Linked DNA regions of Oryctolagus cuniculus. The protein of the gene in region 1 interacts with the protein of each later gene in a pairwise test. Links are inferred from orthologs where the notes say so. Each region holds a gene or a part of one and is shown on either strand. Other genes may lie near its edges.

Evidence for each region.
Region 2: the proteins of FNDC11 (region 1) and GPBP1 interact in binary tests that used the Homo sapiens proteins (3 or more experiments, as listed by UniProt). The link is inferred for Oryctolagus cuniculus from reciprocal best matches to the Homo sapiens genes FNDC11 and GPBP1.

Annotation. Positions count from the first base shown.
Region 1 is NC_091442.1:427,822-435,249, reverse strand, and holds FNDC11 (fibronectin type III domain-containing protein 11), read left to right. Parts: upstream 1-2,927; 5' UTR 2,928-3,049; exon of another isoform or gene 3,050-3,084; intron 3,085-4,330; 5' UTR 4,331-4,339; coding exon 4,340-5,296; 3' UTR 5,297-5,358; downstream 5,359-7,428.
Region 2 is NC_091445.1:77,922,302-77,929,292, forward strand, and holds part of GPBP1 (vasculin), read left to right. Parts: intron 1-422; coding exon 423-590; intron 591-1,103; coding exon 1,104-1,291; intron 1,292-4,577; coding exon 4,578-4,680; intron 4,681-6,991. UniProt on the Homo sapiens protein: Functions as a GC-rich promoter-specific transactivating transcription factor.

The DNA.
Region 1 (7,428 bases):
GACAGGGTCCGTGGGCGGTCTGGGATTCGGACGGTCCCCCGAGGGCCGAGACACCGGATGGGCCGGTCGGACGCGGGGCAGCGAGGCGCACAGCCGGAGCAGTGTCTGGCCCTCAGCCTCGGGCCGCAGGGACAGCCTCCTCTCCAAGATCCGCACTGCGCGCCCGGGAGCGGGAGTGGGGTCTCCTGCCCTGACCCGGACCCAGGCCGAGGGCTCTCGAGGGAGGGGCCCAGGGGCGGGGCCTGGGAGGGCAGGGGCGGGGCTGGGGCGGGGTCGCCGCGCTCTCCTCCCCCGCCCAGCTGCGGGCCCCACCGACTGCAGTCTGCTTGGCCGTGAGCTGGATGACGCGCCAAAAGCGCCTCTTTATTTTAAGTTTGCATTCATTCACTTATTTGAGAGTAGAGTTCCTCCTCCCCCACGGGTTCATTTCCCAAATGCCCCCAAGAACCGGGGCTGGGCACGGTTGGAGGCCAGGGGCAGTCTCCCCCTGCCTGCCTGCCAGAGCCATCGCGGAGGATTTGCAGGGTGTGCGTCGGCAGGACGCTGGAAGCGGCAGCAGAGCCGGGGCGCACACCCAGGCCCGGGACCGGGCGAGGGCATCCCAAGCGGCCCCAGGACCATCTGAATGGCGGCCAAATCTCGCTCATCAGACTCCTGTGCAGGGCAGAGGGCAGACCCCCGCCCGGCAGAGGCACGTGGCACACAGGGGCTCAGCAGAGGCGGCTCCTAGGCAACCCAGACCGGTGCTCCGGGGACGATGCAAAGTGCCCTCTGGGCCGCTCCGGGCCAGGAGATGCCCAGTGGCCAGTGCAGAGAGGCGCGGCTCTGGACTGCCGGCCTCCCAGCTCCAGGCAGGCTGAGGGCTGTGGAGCATCCTACTGGGCGTGGAGTTCAGGCAGAGAGGGGAGAACCACGGGAGGGGAGGCCACCAGCCAGCGTGGGTTCTGCATGCAGCTGTAGCCTTGACTGCCCCCCAGCCCTGGGAAGCCGGCCATCCGGAGTGGGCACTCCCAGTGCTGACTGCAGTGGGGTCAGGCCCTCGAGGTCCCAGGGACTCAGCACCATCTGCAGCTGGAGCCCAGGCCAGCCCTGAGCCACCCTCCCTGCCCCACACCTGTCCCCAGGTCTCCCGAGAACATGGGGACCTGGCATGGTGGACGTCCAGCCTTGCCCGTAGCCAAGGCCCCATGGTGGGGGTGGGAGTTCCCTCCTCCTGAGATGCAGCAGCGAGGCTCCGTCCCCGCCCCCCCACCAGAGTCGGACAGGGATGCTTTCCCGTAGGAAACCAGGCCAGGCAGTCGCCATGCATCTGGGCGTCCAGGCCGGGGCTGCTCCACTTCACTCCCTGCCAACACCAGGGAAGGCAGCGAGAATGACCCATGGGCCCTGCCACCCACATGGGAGACCTGGATGGAGTTCCTGGCTCCTGGCTTTGGCCTGGGAAGTGAATCAGCGGATGGAAAACCTAGCTGCGCCCCCACCACCCCCACACACCCTGACTCTCCTATTAATTAATTTCTAATTAATCTTTCTAAAACAATGTCTCCTGAAAAACCACTTGGGGGCCCCAGAGTCCCCCACCCCAAGGAGGGAGGCCTGGAGCGATGGGGTCGGGCCTCCTGCCGGACTGCCCAGCAGCACCCCCCAGCCCCTCCTCAGCCCTTCCCCCACCCAGCACCTGCAGTCCCCCCACGCCCCAGATGAAGGCCCCACTGCCCTGTGCCTCCAGCTGGGCTCCACCTGCCTCACCTCCTCCTGCGATGCCGCGGAGACACGGAGACACGGAGACACGGAGACACGGAGACACCGCAGCCTCAGCCCCACGGCGGCCCCAACCACTGAGACAGCCCCGGCGGGGACGCAGAGGGACCGGCCGGCGGCCCCGGCTGGGAACCCACCCCTGACCGTGGGCCTTTCTGCAGCTTGTCTCCCCGGCTTCCACAGAGCCTGCAGCGCCCGGAGGACACCAGGGACCCGGCGCTTTGAGGAGGGGGCTTCCTGGGTATGAGGCTGAGGCTGGCAACCGTGCTCCGGGGTTCTGGGGAGTCAGACACAGAGGAGGGGGCTGTGGGACCAGGGAGGAGGTCAGGTCTGCCAGCCCCTTCCCCGTGGGCTGCAGCTTGGAGTGGGGTCTCCCCCCACCCAGGCCCAGGACTGGGCGTGATCTACCGAGCCCTTCTGAGCGCCCAGGCTGGGTGGCGGACAAGGGGCAGTCACACACCCCCAGCCCCGCTTTCAGGGCCTGCTCTGGCTTGGGGGTGGGGTACAGGCCTACAGGGGTCCACTCTGGGAGCCCCCTCCCAAGGCTGGGATCACAGTCAGGAATGGGGGAGGAAAGGAGGGAGTCGAGCCACTTAGCTCTCGGCAGGGGAGGCCGCGGGTGGGAAGGGGCTCCCTGCTCCTCCTTCCTGGCAAGGTGGCTGAGGCGGACCGCTGGGCGCAGACCCCGAGCTGGGCACTCCGGAGGTCCCTAGCGCGCTCGTACACACGCATGGGACACAAGGGCCCGAGGACCCCTCGGAGGAGCCCCTGCAGAGCGGGCCCTCCCGCCAGGTCACCCCGGCCCGCGAGGGTTCGCAGGTCGCTCCCTCCCCAAGTCCGTCGAGGTCGCACGAGTGGGCGTCGAGCGGAAGCCCCTGCCCCTAACCCCGGGGCGTAGGGGAAGCGCGGTGCGCAGACGGACGCCCAAGGAGGTCTCCGCCCAAAGGGGTTCTCCGCCCAAGGGGCCGCCAGCCTCGGCTGGCTCAGCCCGGCTTTCGGACCCGCGGCCTCGGGCCTCCTAGGAAGGGCGCGGACCCGACCCCGCGCTCCCTAGCGACGGAAGCGAAGACCCTGAGTCCAGCCGTCCCGTGGAGCCGGTGGGCGGGTTCTGCGCCCTGCGCAGTCCGCGCTCCGCCCCTCAGGTCCCTGGCTTCCCCCGACCCTCCGCGGCGGGGTCTCCCGGCACCCCGCCCCCCCACCTGGCCGGGCGGGGCGTCACAAGGGCCCGCGGTTTCTTGGCAACCCACTGGCCGGCAGGCGCGAGACTGGGTCCCCCCTCGCGCACTGGGCAAGTGGCTGAGCAGCTGGGCTTCGCGACGCAGGGCAAGTGGGCTCAGCCTGGACGGCGCTGGGACGGCAGAGGAGGCGGCGGCGGGGGCGGGGAGGGGGGGCGGTTAGGTGGGCGGGAGGAGGGTGAGGGTGGGGTCTGCCGAGAGGCCTGGGGAGGGGGCGCTCCCAGCAGCCTTGCCCCCGTTCACTGCCAGCCCAGGTTCTCTTCCGCGGAGGGAAACGTCTAGGGTGGACTCAGGCCTGGGCGCTGGGTTCTGGCTTCAGCTTGTCCTCCACCCCGAGATGCCCCCTGTGGTCCCGGCAGCCTGATCTAGACCCTTGCCCCAGAAAGGTCACAGCCAACAGGGGGCGGGCACTGCTCCCCCCCACCAGCACCTGTGTGGCCTGGGCGAGCTCCTGGGGCTCGGTCTCTCCCTTTTAACACGCCCAACCAGCCAGGGGTCACAGCCTGAGGTTCCCCGCCCCCGAAGCCCATGGCCCTGCTCAGGGGGCTGCTTCAGCCCTGGGGGCCCCGGGCCCAGGGTGGCTCCTGGATGCCGGGCTGCAGGGCCAGCCCCGCACGGGGCCAGGGACCACAGCTGCACCGGCCTCTCCCACTGACTCCCAGGGCTGGCACCCTGGGCCTGGGGACAGGGAGGAGGGGGCAGACTGTGGGGCTGGGCGTGGTGGCTGGGTTCCAACCCTGGACAAGAGCAAGCCACCAAGCGATTTAGCCTCAGGCCCCCATCTGTGAGATGAGGGATGGGTCTGCCCCTTGTGGGACCTTCGGTCACTGGACCCCAGCACCCCGAGAGCAGCAAGCCTGAGTATTCTCAGAGTGGGGGCCTGGACTCCTGCTCCTGCACCCGCCCCACCTGCCTCTGGCGGAGCCCTGGTCCCTCTGCACTGTAAGCGGTGAGGCGTGGGGGTGCCCAGGGAGAACCCGTGGGGAGGGTGTTCCCCAGGTGCCCCCCCGGGGGTCCATGCTTCTCGGGACCAAGGCTGACGCTACCCTGCCTCAGACCAGGGCCTCACGGCTGGGCGGCAGCCATTGCAGCATCCACAGCCCACTCTGAGCCCCACGTCGTCCCCACGGGAGACAGCCGGCCCCTCGGCACGCGCTGTCGTCCAGCCCTGCGTCTGGCTGCTGGGTCCGCCAGGCAGCCCTCCCCAGACCAGCGTGGGGGACAGAAGTCCGAGTCGAAGGGTGCGGGCCCAGAGCCACCCCCTCGCTCGCTGAGGCCGCCCGTGTGCGCGGCCTGGTGGCGGCTCACCTGCGGCCCTCTGCCCCCTCCCCCAGCTCCCAGCCATGAACTTCCAGGTGAGGGGCCTGGGCCTGGACAAGATGAAGCTGGACAGCCCGCAGTCCTGCCTGGACCAGGAGGAGGTGGAGGAGGCGGAGGAGGCCGAGGACCAGCAGCTGCTGGAGCCCGAGGCCTGGAGGACCTACGTGGAACGCCGCAACGCCCTGCGGGAGTTCCTGGCCTCGGACCTGAGCCCCCACCTGCTGAAGCGCCACCACGCGCGCGTGCAGCTGCTCCGGAAGTGCTCCTACTACATCGAGGTCCTCCCCAAGCACCTGGCCCTGGGCGACCAGAACCCGCTGGTGCTGCCCAGCGCCATGTTCCAGCTCATCGACCCCTGGAAGTTCCAGCGCATGAAGAAGGTGGGGACGGCGCAGACCAAGATCCAGCTGCTGCTGCTTGGCGACCTGCTGGAGCAGCTGGACCGCGGCCGCGCCGTGCTGGACGCCCTGCTGGAGTCGCCCGACCCGCGGCCCTTCCTGGCCGGCTGGGCGCTGGTGGAGCAGCGGCTGACGGACCTGTCGGCCACCATGGACAGCTTCCTGGCCATCATGGTGCCCGGGCGCCTGCACATTAAGCACCGCCTGGTGTCCGACATCGGGGCCACCAAGATCCCCCACATCCGGCTCATGCTGAGCACCAAGACGCCGGTCATGTTCGACCGCAAGGAGTCGGTGGCCCACCAGGACTGGGCCAGCCTGCGCTGGTTCGTCACCCTGCAGCCCGCGGCGCCCGAGCAGTTCGAGCTGCGCTTCAAGCTGCTGGAGCCGCGGACGCAGCAGGAGCGCACGCACGGCGGCGTGATCCCCGTGGCCGCCTGCGCCTTCGCCGTCCGCAACCTGCTGCCCAGCCGCTCCTACAGGTTCACCATCAAGAGGGCCGAGAGCTACACGCTGGTGTACGAGCCCTGGCGGGACAGCCTCACCCTGCACACCAAGCCGGGCCCCCAGTCGGCCGGGTGAGCCGCACCCTCCACAGATGATTTTCTAGTATTTATGCACTAATAAAGACGCGTATGAATGCAGAGAGCCTGGGGGCCGAACCCCCACCAGGGCGGAGGGCGGCCTCGGCCCGATCCGCGCTTCTGCCTCCCTGTCCCTCCACCGGAACCAGAACCAGAACCGAGCCCTGGCCGTCCTTCCTTCCTTCCTTTTTTGAATTTGAGAGACAGACAGATCTCTCCCACCTGTCGACTTGCTCCCTGAATGCCCACAACAGCCAGGGCTGCACCAGGCGAGAGCTGGGAACCAGATACCTGGCAGGAACCCACGTCCCTGAGCTGCTGCCCCCACTGCCCCCACTGCCCACAGCCCCCACTGCCCCCGGCCCTCACCGCCCCCCACTGCCCACAGTCCCCACTGCCCACCACCCCTCAATGCCCCCCACTGCCCACCACTGCCCCCCATTGCCCACAGCCCCCACTGCCCACCGCCCCTCACTGCCCCCCACTGCCCGTAGCCCTCACTGCCCCCCACTGCCCCCCATTGCCCACAGCCCTCACTGCCCCCCATTGCCCACAGCCCCCACTGCCCACCGCCCCTCACTGCCCCCCACTGCCCACAGCCCCCACTGCCCCAGCCCCCTCCCCCCCGGCAGACGTCAGCACACCCGGAAGGGAGTGGAGCTCTGTAACAGGTCTGTGCCTGGTCTTGCGCGCTGTGAGAAGACTGTGATTTGTAAAAGCTGCCAGCATCAGACAGGCCCGCCTCCTGGCTCTGACAACTGGACCTGGGAGGGGATCTGCTCCTCTGGTCAGTGGTGGGGGCGGGGCAGGTGCCCTGGCAGTCTGCCTGCCCGGGCCATCTGTCCCACGGCTCAGGGCCGATGGCTGGGACTGGCAGAAGCAGAGCTGTCTCTTTGAGGGAGGCCCCTGGCCACCGGCTGGACTGTGGCCCTTCCCAGCAGCAGACACCGGCTCCAGGAGTGCCCTGAGCCCTGGGGGTTCCCTTGCTGCCCCCACACTTCCCAGCAACAGCCACCCTGAGAGCCCCTGTCACCAGCCATCCTGGGAGAAGCCACATGGAGGAATCTGTGCACCTGCCCCTGGCCGCCAGCAGCGGGAGAGGAGGTGCTCAGATGTGAGGGGCGGGAGCCAGGGCCCCTCCTTCACCCTCCCCCAGCCCTGAGCCCACACCCCCGGAGCCTGGCTGTGTTCCCTCAGGATCCACAAGGCCTGGAAGATTCCTGAGCCTGCTCAGTCCCCACTGGTCCCGGCTGCGGCCAGCGCGCGTGGACGGGGCTCAGCAGCCGGCGGCAACACCTGCACCCTGGGCTCTGCCCCGGCGCACCAGGAGCTTGCTCTGCGGCCTGTGTCCTTCCAGGGTGTGGGGATGGCCCAAGGCCTTCTGGGAGCCGGTGAGGGGTGCCTGTCGCGGCAATGGAGCCGCCATCCAGCCGTGGTCTCGGTGTAGGTGGCCAGCTGGACCTGCCTCCCTGGAGGGGGCTTTGTGCCGGGAGTGGGGCAGGTGCAACGCTGGGGGCAGCTTCGAGCTGGCGGCTGCTGGGTGCCGTGACCAGGAACTCAGCCACAGCGCCCAGCACAGTCCCTGTCCAGCTCGTGGACAGGCACTGGGGGCCCTGGATCTCCTCGGCTGCCTCCCATAGGACAACGGGGGGTCCAAGCAGACCACAGAAGACACGAGGTGCAGGCAGACCGCGCACTGCCCTTCGACGTGGAGACCAAGAGGCAGATGGCGAGGCACGTCCAGCGCACGGCGCCCTGTAGGCAGGACTCCACGTCCAGTGCCCCACTGCTGGCTAGAAGCTGGCCACGTCAGCCTCCCGCACGGTCCCCTCACACCAGAGAGCACCCTGGGGGTCCACAGTGCAGGCCAGGATGCTGTGCAGTGCCCTCTGTGGCCAGCGGCCGGCAAGCCCCTCACACTGTCTGCAGTGCTCAGCCATGAAGGCTGGGTCCGCACTGCAGGACAAGGACCCAGAGGCCCTGCTCCCAGCCCGTGGCCTCGACAGGTGGCTCCAAGGTGATGGCCAGCAGGCAGCAGAGGGGCTCACACCTCTGCAGGAAGCCCACCCCGAAGGGCGGGAGTGCGGGTGCTTCAGCCCAGTGTGACCAAGCTGCTGACCGGGACAAGGA
Region 2 (6,991 bases), on another chromosome or scaffold:
TATTGTGTAAACTCTGGAATGTGGAATACAGTTTGAAAAACTGCTGTTCCGTGTACAAGGGTATTTCAAGAAGTTTGTGGAAAATGTGCATTGTCTTTTTATTCCATTTTTCATGAAGTTTTAAAAGTGCTCTTATAGAAATTTTTAGGCAATTCTGTGCTGCATTTATCAAGTAAACTCGTAATTTGAATCTGAGTCTGAATATTTCCAGGCTTTCTTTGTTTCTAGGGCAAACAAACTCACTGATTAATTCAGTAGTTAAGAAAAGGGAGGAATGGAGAGAAATAGGTTTAAAAAATAGACCTTAAAAACAGTTTTGCATTGTGAATAAAGGTAAAATAGGAAGCTGTGGTAATTGTGAACTTTATATTGATACTGATTCCCTGGCTACATATTTATCAGTATTTCTGAATTTCCCTTAGTGTAATCGCTCCAATTCCTCTTCACCTGTTGACAAACTTAATCAGCAACCTCGCCTAACCAAATTGACTCGAATGCGTACTGATAAAAAGAGTGAGTTTTTGAAAGCATTGAAAAGGGACAGAGTAGAAGAGGAACATGAAGATGAGAGCCATGCTGGCTCAGAGAAGGTAATTGAATTTTTATTACTTGACTTCCTATTAAGATGTCATTAAAATATTTGGGCAAATATTTAGGACCATGAATTACTCTGATCGAATTTTCAATTTTCTGAAAAGGTCAATGATTTATATAAATATGATTTGCTTTCTAAAGTAGTTTTTTCTAATTATGTAGTTACTTTGCAAAAATAAGTGTTAAAATAAGTTGTCTTCATATCTCTTTCCTTCTGATTTCCCTGCTTTCATCCTGCTTGCCTTCTTTTTTTTTTTTTTTTTTTTTTTTGGTTTTTTTTTTTTTTTTTTGTTTTTTGCCTTTGTTGAATAGATCTGAAGACTTAGGACCAGAGAGGTTTGAGTATCCTGTTCAGCTTAGTTTTTGATTCCTTGATGAGAATGTTTCCTAAACCTAATGATAAAATGTATTACATTAGTGCATTCTCATTGGAAATCTAGCCATGATCTATTGAAGTTTTTAATAACTGTACTCTTTAGAACTCATTTTTTTTATTCCCTAAAAATCAGGATGACGAATCATTTAATTTGCATAACAGCAATAGTACTCACCAAGAAAGGGATATAAACCGAAACTTTGATGAAAATGAAATTCCACAGGAGAATGGGAACGCTTCGGTTATTTCCCAACAGATCATTCGCTCTTCAACCTTTCCACAAACTGATGTTCTTTCAAGTTCACTTGAGGCAGAACACAGGTTAGTATTTTTTACTTTTTTTCTGGCATTTTAAATATTCAGGATTTCTATATGGCGTTCTAGTGACTTATTTTTTAATAGGCTTCAGATAGGATTTATAATAGTGTAAGTCTCACCCATTTTAAGTGTACAGATACCAGTGATTTTTAATACATTCACAGTGGTGCAACTGCTACTACAATCTAATTTTAAAACATTTCTATCACTGTAGAAAAAAGTCCCAAGCCCATTTACATTTTCTCTTTGTTTCCACTTGGTCTTAGACAGCCAGTAATCTATTTTTGTGGCCATAGATTTGCCTTTTTGGCTATTCATATAAGTGTAGTCACTCAGAATGTGATTTTTTGTTCTCTTTCATCTTTCATTATACATAGCACATTCAAGATTCATTTGTGTTGTGGTACATGTCAGTACTTTGTTCCCTTTATTTGTCTTGAGTAAATACCTAAGATGTTTGATAGTACATATGGCAATTAAGTTTGACATTCTGAAAACCTATCAAACTATTTTTCAAAATGCACTGTTTTGTATCCTCATCAGCAATATAGAAAGTTTCAGTTTCTCACCCATACTTGGTATCATCTGCCTTTGCTTATAAGCTTTCTTGAGGGTATGTGATAATGCCTTTTTTTTGTGGTTTTTAGTATATATTTCTCTAATGTCTAACAGTTTTGAATGTCTTTTCATGTTCCTACTGGCCATTTATACATTATCTGTGGGAGACAGAGTTTCTAAAATACACTCACTGCCTTTTTAATAATTTTCATCAAGTTGCTAAGAGTTCCTTATTTTATGTATTTATTTATATTTGACTTAAGGTGACCTTTTACTTCCTCAGCCATCCCTTTAAAGGCAAAATGTTTCAGGTTTTTGTTGTTATTGTTAATGTTTGTTTATTTCTTTGCATTTACTTGAAAGGTAGAGTGACACACAGAGATTTTCTATCTGCTGGTTCCTAAATGCCTGCAACAATCAGGCTGGGCCAGGTCAAAGCCAGGATCCAAGAACTCCATCTGGGTCTCCCACTTGGGTGGCAGGGGCAATTTGAGCCATCATTTTCTTCTTCTTCTTCTTCTTCTTCTTCTTCTTCTTCTTCTTTTTTTTTTTTTTTTTTTTTTTTTTTTTGACAGGCAGAGTGGACAGTGAGAGAGAGAGAGAGAGACAGAGAGAAAGGTCTTCCTTTGCCGTTGGTTCACCCTGCTGATCCGATGGCAGGAGCCAGGTGCTTTTCCTGGTCTCCCATGGGGTGCAGGGTCCAAGCACCTGGGCCATCCTCCACTGCACTCCCTGGCCACAGCAGAGAGCTGGCCTGGAAGAGGGGCAACTGGGGCAGAATCCGGTGCCCCAACCGGGACTAGAACCCGGTGTGCCAGTGCTGCTAGGCGGAGGATTAGCCTAGTGAGCCGTGGCGCCGGCCTTTTTTTTTTTTTTTTTTTTTTTTTTTTTAAGATTTATTATTTATTTTAAAGAGTTACACACAGAGAGAAGGAGATGCAGAGGGAGAGAGGTCTTCCATCCTCTGGTTCACTCCCCAGTTGGCCGCAATGGTGAGAGCAACATCAGTCTGAAGCTAGGAGCTTCTTCTGGGTCTCCCACACGCGTGCAAAGGCCAAAGCACTTGGGCCATCTTCCATTGCTTTCCCAGGCTATAGCAGAGAGCTGGATCAGAAGTGGAGCAGCCAGGACTCGAACTGACACCCACATGGGATGCTGGCACTTCAGGCAGCAACTTTATCCTCCATGCCACAGTGCCGGCCCCTTCTTAAAAAAAGAGTTATTTTTTTGAGAGACAGAGTTAGAGAGAGGCATTCCACCTGCTGGCCCCAAATGGCTTTAACAACTTGAGCTGGGCCAACCTGAAGCCAGGAGGCAGGAGTTTTCTCCTGGTCTCCCTCGCTGGTGCAGGGACCCAAGTGCTTGGGGCTTCTTCAATTGCTTTCCCAGGCCATTAGCAGAGAGCTGGATCAGAAGAGGAACAGCAGGACACTAACTGGCATCTATATGGTATGCTGGCCCCACAGGCTGTGGCTTAGCCTACTACATCACAGCTCCAGCCCCATGCCATCATCTTTTGTTCATGGTCACTAACAGCTGAAAGTTTACAGTAGCTAATATATGGCAGGCTGAAAGTGAAAGATGAGTAGTTGTAAATAGGCATATAGAAGACCTCAGGAATGCAATTTTAAACAAAACTTTGTCAGACCAGTATGATATAAGTAAGATACAGAAACTCTGAGCCTGTCGCCGTGACTCACTTGGTTAATCCTCCGACTGCAGCGCCAGCATCCTGTATGGGCACCAGGTTCCCCAGTTGCTCCTCTTCCAGTCCAGCTCTCTGCTGTAGCCCGGGAGGGCAGTGGAGGATGCCCCAGATGCTTGGGCCCCTGCACCTGCATGGGAGATCAGGAGGAAGCACCTGGCTCCTGGCTTCGGATCAGAGCTGTGAGCTGTGCCGATCTGGAGCCAGAAACTTCTTTGAGTGGGTGCAGGGGCCCAAGGATTTGGGCCATCTTCCACTGCTTTCCCAGGCCATGGCAGAGTGGATTGGAAGAGGAGCAACCAGGACTATAACCAGCACCCATATGGGATGCCAGCACTTTAGGCCAGGGCCTTAACTTGCTGCGCCACAGCACACCCCCTCCCCCCCTTTTTTTTTTCTTCAAAATTGGAAGGAAAATGGTATAGCCATATTTGGCATTTTTATTTATATTCTCTATAATATCTGTTAAGTCATTTTTGTTACTGAATGTGTCTCAAATTGCATTATGTTGTGGATGATGCTTGTTTTGTCATGCCTATAAGAGGTAATGTTAATAGATTATAAAATACAACATAAGGTAAACTATGCCAGCTTGTTTCTTCATAAAGTAGAAAACCTAGTAAGTAGCTAAGAATATAGTAGAGTATGGTGGAATTGAAGAAAAAGAGGAGGGGTATTGCTTTTACTTTTTGTACAAGAATTTACTAGATTTTCTTCAGGTCTCTCCTATTATAAGTTTTCTGCCCAGAAATCATTTGACTGCAGATTGGGCAGTTAAGCAGTTTCTTTTTATTTTATTATCAAAATTTATTAGACTTAATTTTAACCTGTTTTATTATTTGCAGATTCTAGGCTTAAACTCAACATCTGTTGATATGTCTTAGAGACTTTGTATAATGGATCCTGGATCAAGTTTTTTTGCATATAATATAAATGGAATTTATAATATATATGTTATATATAAATATAATGGAATTTTCTACTCAGGAGAAGCTCTAAATTGAACTTAATTTCATCCCTTTGTAGATTGTTAAAAGAGATGGGTTGGCAAGAAGATAGTGAAAATGATGAAACGTGTGCTCCCTTAACTGAGGATGAGATGAGAGAATTCCAAGTTATTAGTGAACAGGTAAGATAAGCTGAATTATGCAAGTTTACTTTTAGATTGCCCTTCCATAAATAGAGGAGCATAATTACAAGTAGGCATGGTGTGAGGGGTGTTATAGTTTCATTTAGTAATTTGTTAGACATCACATAATAGATCATAATTGCCTTTGTTTTTAGACAGCTCTGCAATGAGCTTTAAACTTTTGAGTGTGCGCTACATAGAAATTAGTGTCTATAATTTGTCAGTTTTGTTTATTTAATTTTATTTCTGGCATGGGTGACAAGTAGAGAGCATCAATAGCTTTCCAAACATCTTCACCTTGCACAAGAATATTCCATATTCCAAGAGCATCTGGTTTTACTTCTCCATAAACACCTTCCTTTCCACTATTTTTTTATTTTTTGTTTTTTAATTTGAGAGACAGAGAAAGCATGTACACTAGCTTCCAACTGCTAGTTCACTCCCTATATGTCCACAGTAGCTGGGCCAGGGCAAACCAAATCCAGAATCCAGGAACTCGGTTTAGATTTCCATGTCTGTGACAGGGACCTAACTGCTTGAGTCATTACCACGGCATTTCAGAGAATGCCTTAGCAGGAAGCTGGAGTTAGGAGCCAGAGCTGACATTGAACCCTGTCATTCTAGTGTGAGTTTTGGATGTCTTTAACTGTTAGGGCAGACATCTGCCCCCATAACTTTCCTTTTCAGAGAATATTGGGAAATGTTTGCTAGAGCATCAGGAAGTTGAGATACTTTTTATTTTTTAAATTACTCTGGTTATACATCTCTTGATTTTCTATACGGAGACATTATAATTGATTTTGTTGATCTTCAAAGCACTTCAGAAGTGTTTTGAATCGGATCTTTGAAGAAATGAGTCATTTCTAATTTTGTAATACAGTGAGTTTGAGCATCTCAATTAAAAATTTTAAAGGATGAATGTAGTATAGTGATCATCCCAGTGTACTTTTTGAACTTTTTAAAGTTTTTGAAGTTAAAAACTTCACATGACTTAACCATTTTAACATTGTACAGGTCAGTAAGCATTGTGGCACTGTTAAGCAACCATCCCCAATGTATATCTGCATTTGTCATCTTCCCAACTTGAAACCTCATACTCATTAATTTTATTTTATTTTTTTTTAAGATTTACTTATTTACAGTTACAGAGAGGCAGAGGCAGAGCGAGAGGTCTTCCATCTGCTGGTTCATCCCCCAGATAGCCACAGTGGCCGGATCTGGGTCGATCTGAAGCCAGGAGCCAGGAGCCAGGAGCTTCTTCCAGGTCTTCCATCTGGGTGCAGGAGCCCAAGGACTTGGGCCAGTTTCTGCTTTCCCAGGCCATAGCAGAGAGCTGGATAGGAAGTGGAGCAGCTAGGACTCGAACCAGCACCCATACAGGGTGCTGGCACTGCAGGTGGCAGCTTTACCTGCTGTGCCACAGCGCCGGCACCCCTATACCCATTAAACAATAGCTTAACATTCCCTGCTGCACCATCCTTGGAAAGCCCCCAGTCTAGTTTTTATCTCTATGAATTTGACAGTTTTCCATAGCTTACATTAGTGGAATCATGTAATATTTGTCATTTTGTGATGGACTTATTTCACTTAGCCTTATGTATTTCTTCTCAAGGTTCATCCATGTAGCATGTGTCAAAATTGTCTTTCTTTCTAAAAAAAGCTAAATAATGTTACATTATGTATATATATTTATTTATCCATTTATCTGTTGATGGATACTTCGGTTGCTTTTCTTTTTAGCTACTATAAATACTGCTCTAAGGAAAGTAGTACAAATAACTGTTTGAGTCCTTGGCTTCAGTACTTTGGGTATATTATATACCTAGTAGTAGAATTAGTGGATCTTAGGGCAACTAAATAAAAATTTTTTAAAGATTTATTTATTTATTTGAAAGAGTTACACAGAGAAAGAGAGGCAGAGAGAGAGAGAGCACTCTTCCATCTGCTGGTTCACTCTCCAATTGGCCACAACGGCTGCCATTGAGCTGATCCAAAGTGAGGAGCCAGGAGCTGGGGCCCAAGCACGTGGGCCATCTTCTGCTGGTTTCCCAGGCCGTAGCAGAGAGCTGGATCGGAAGTGGAGCAGGCAGGACTCGAACTGGCACCCATGTGGGATGCCGGCACTATGGGAGGTGGCTTTACCCACTATGCCACAGTGCCAGCTCCAGTATTTTTTTTTAGACTTACTTATTTATTTGAAAGGCCGAGTTACAGAAAGAGAAGAGAAGAGACACACAGTGATCTTCCAGCTGCTGGTTCATTCTCCAAGTGGGCGCAACAACCGGGGCTGGGCCAGGAGTCTGGAACTCCA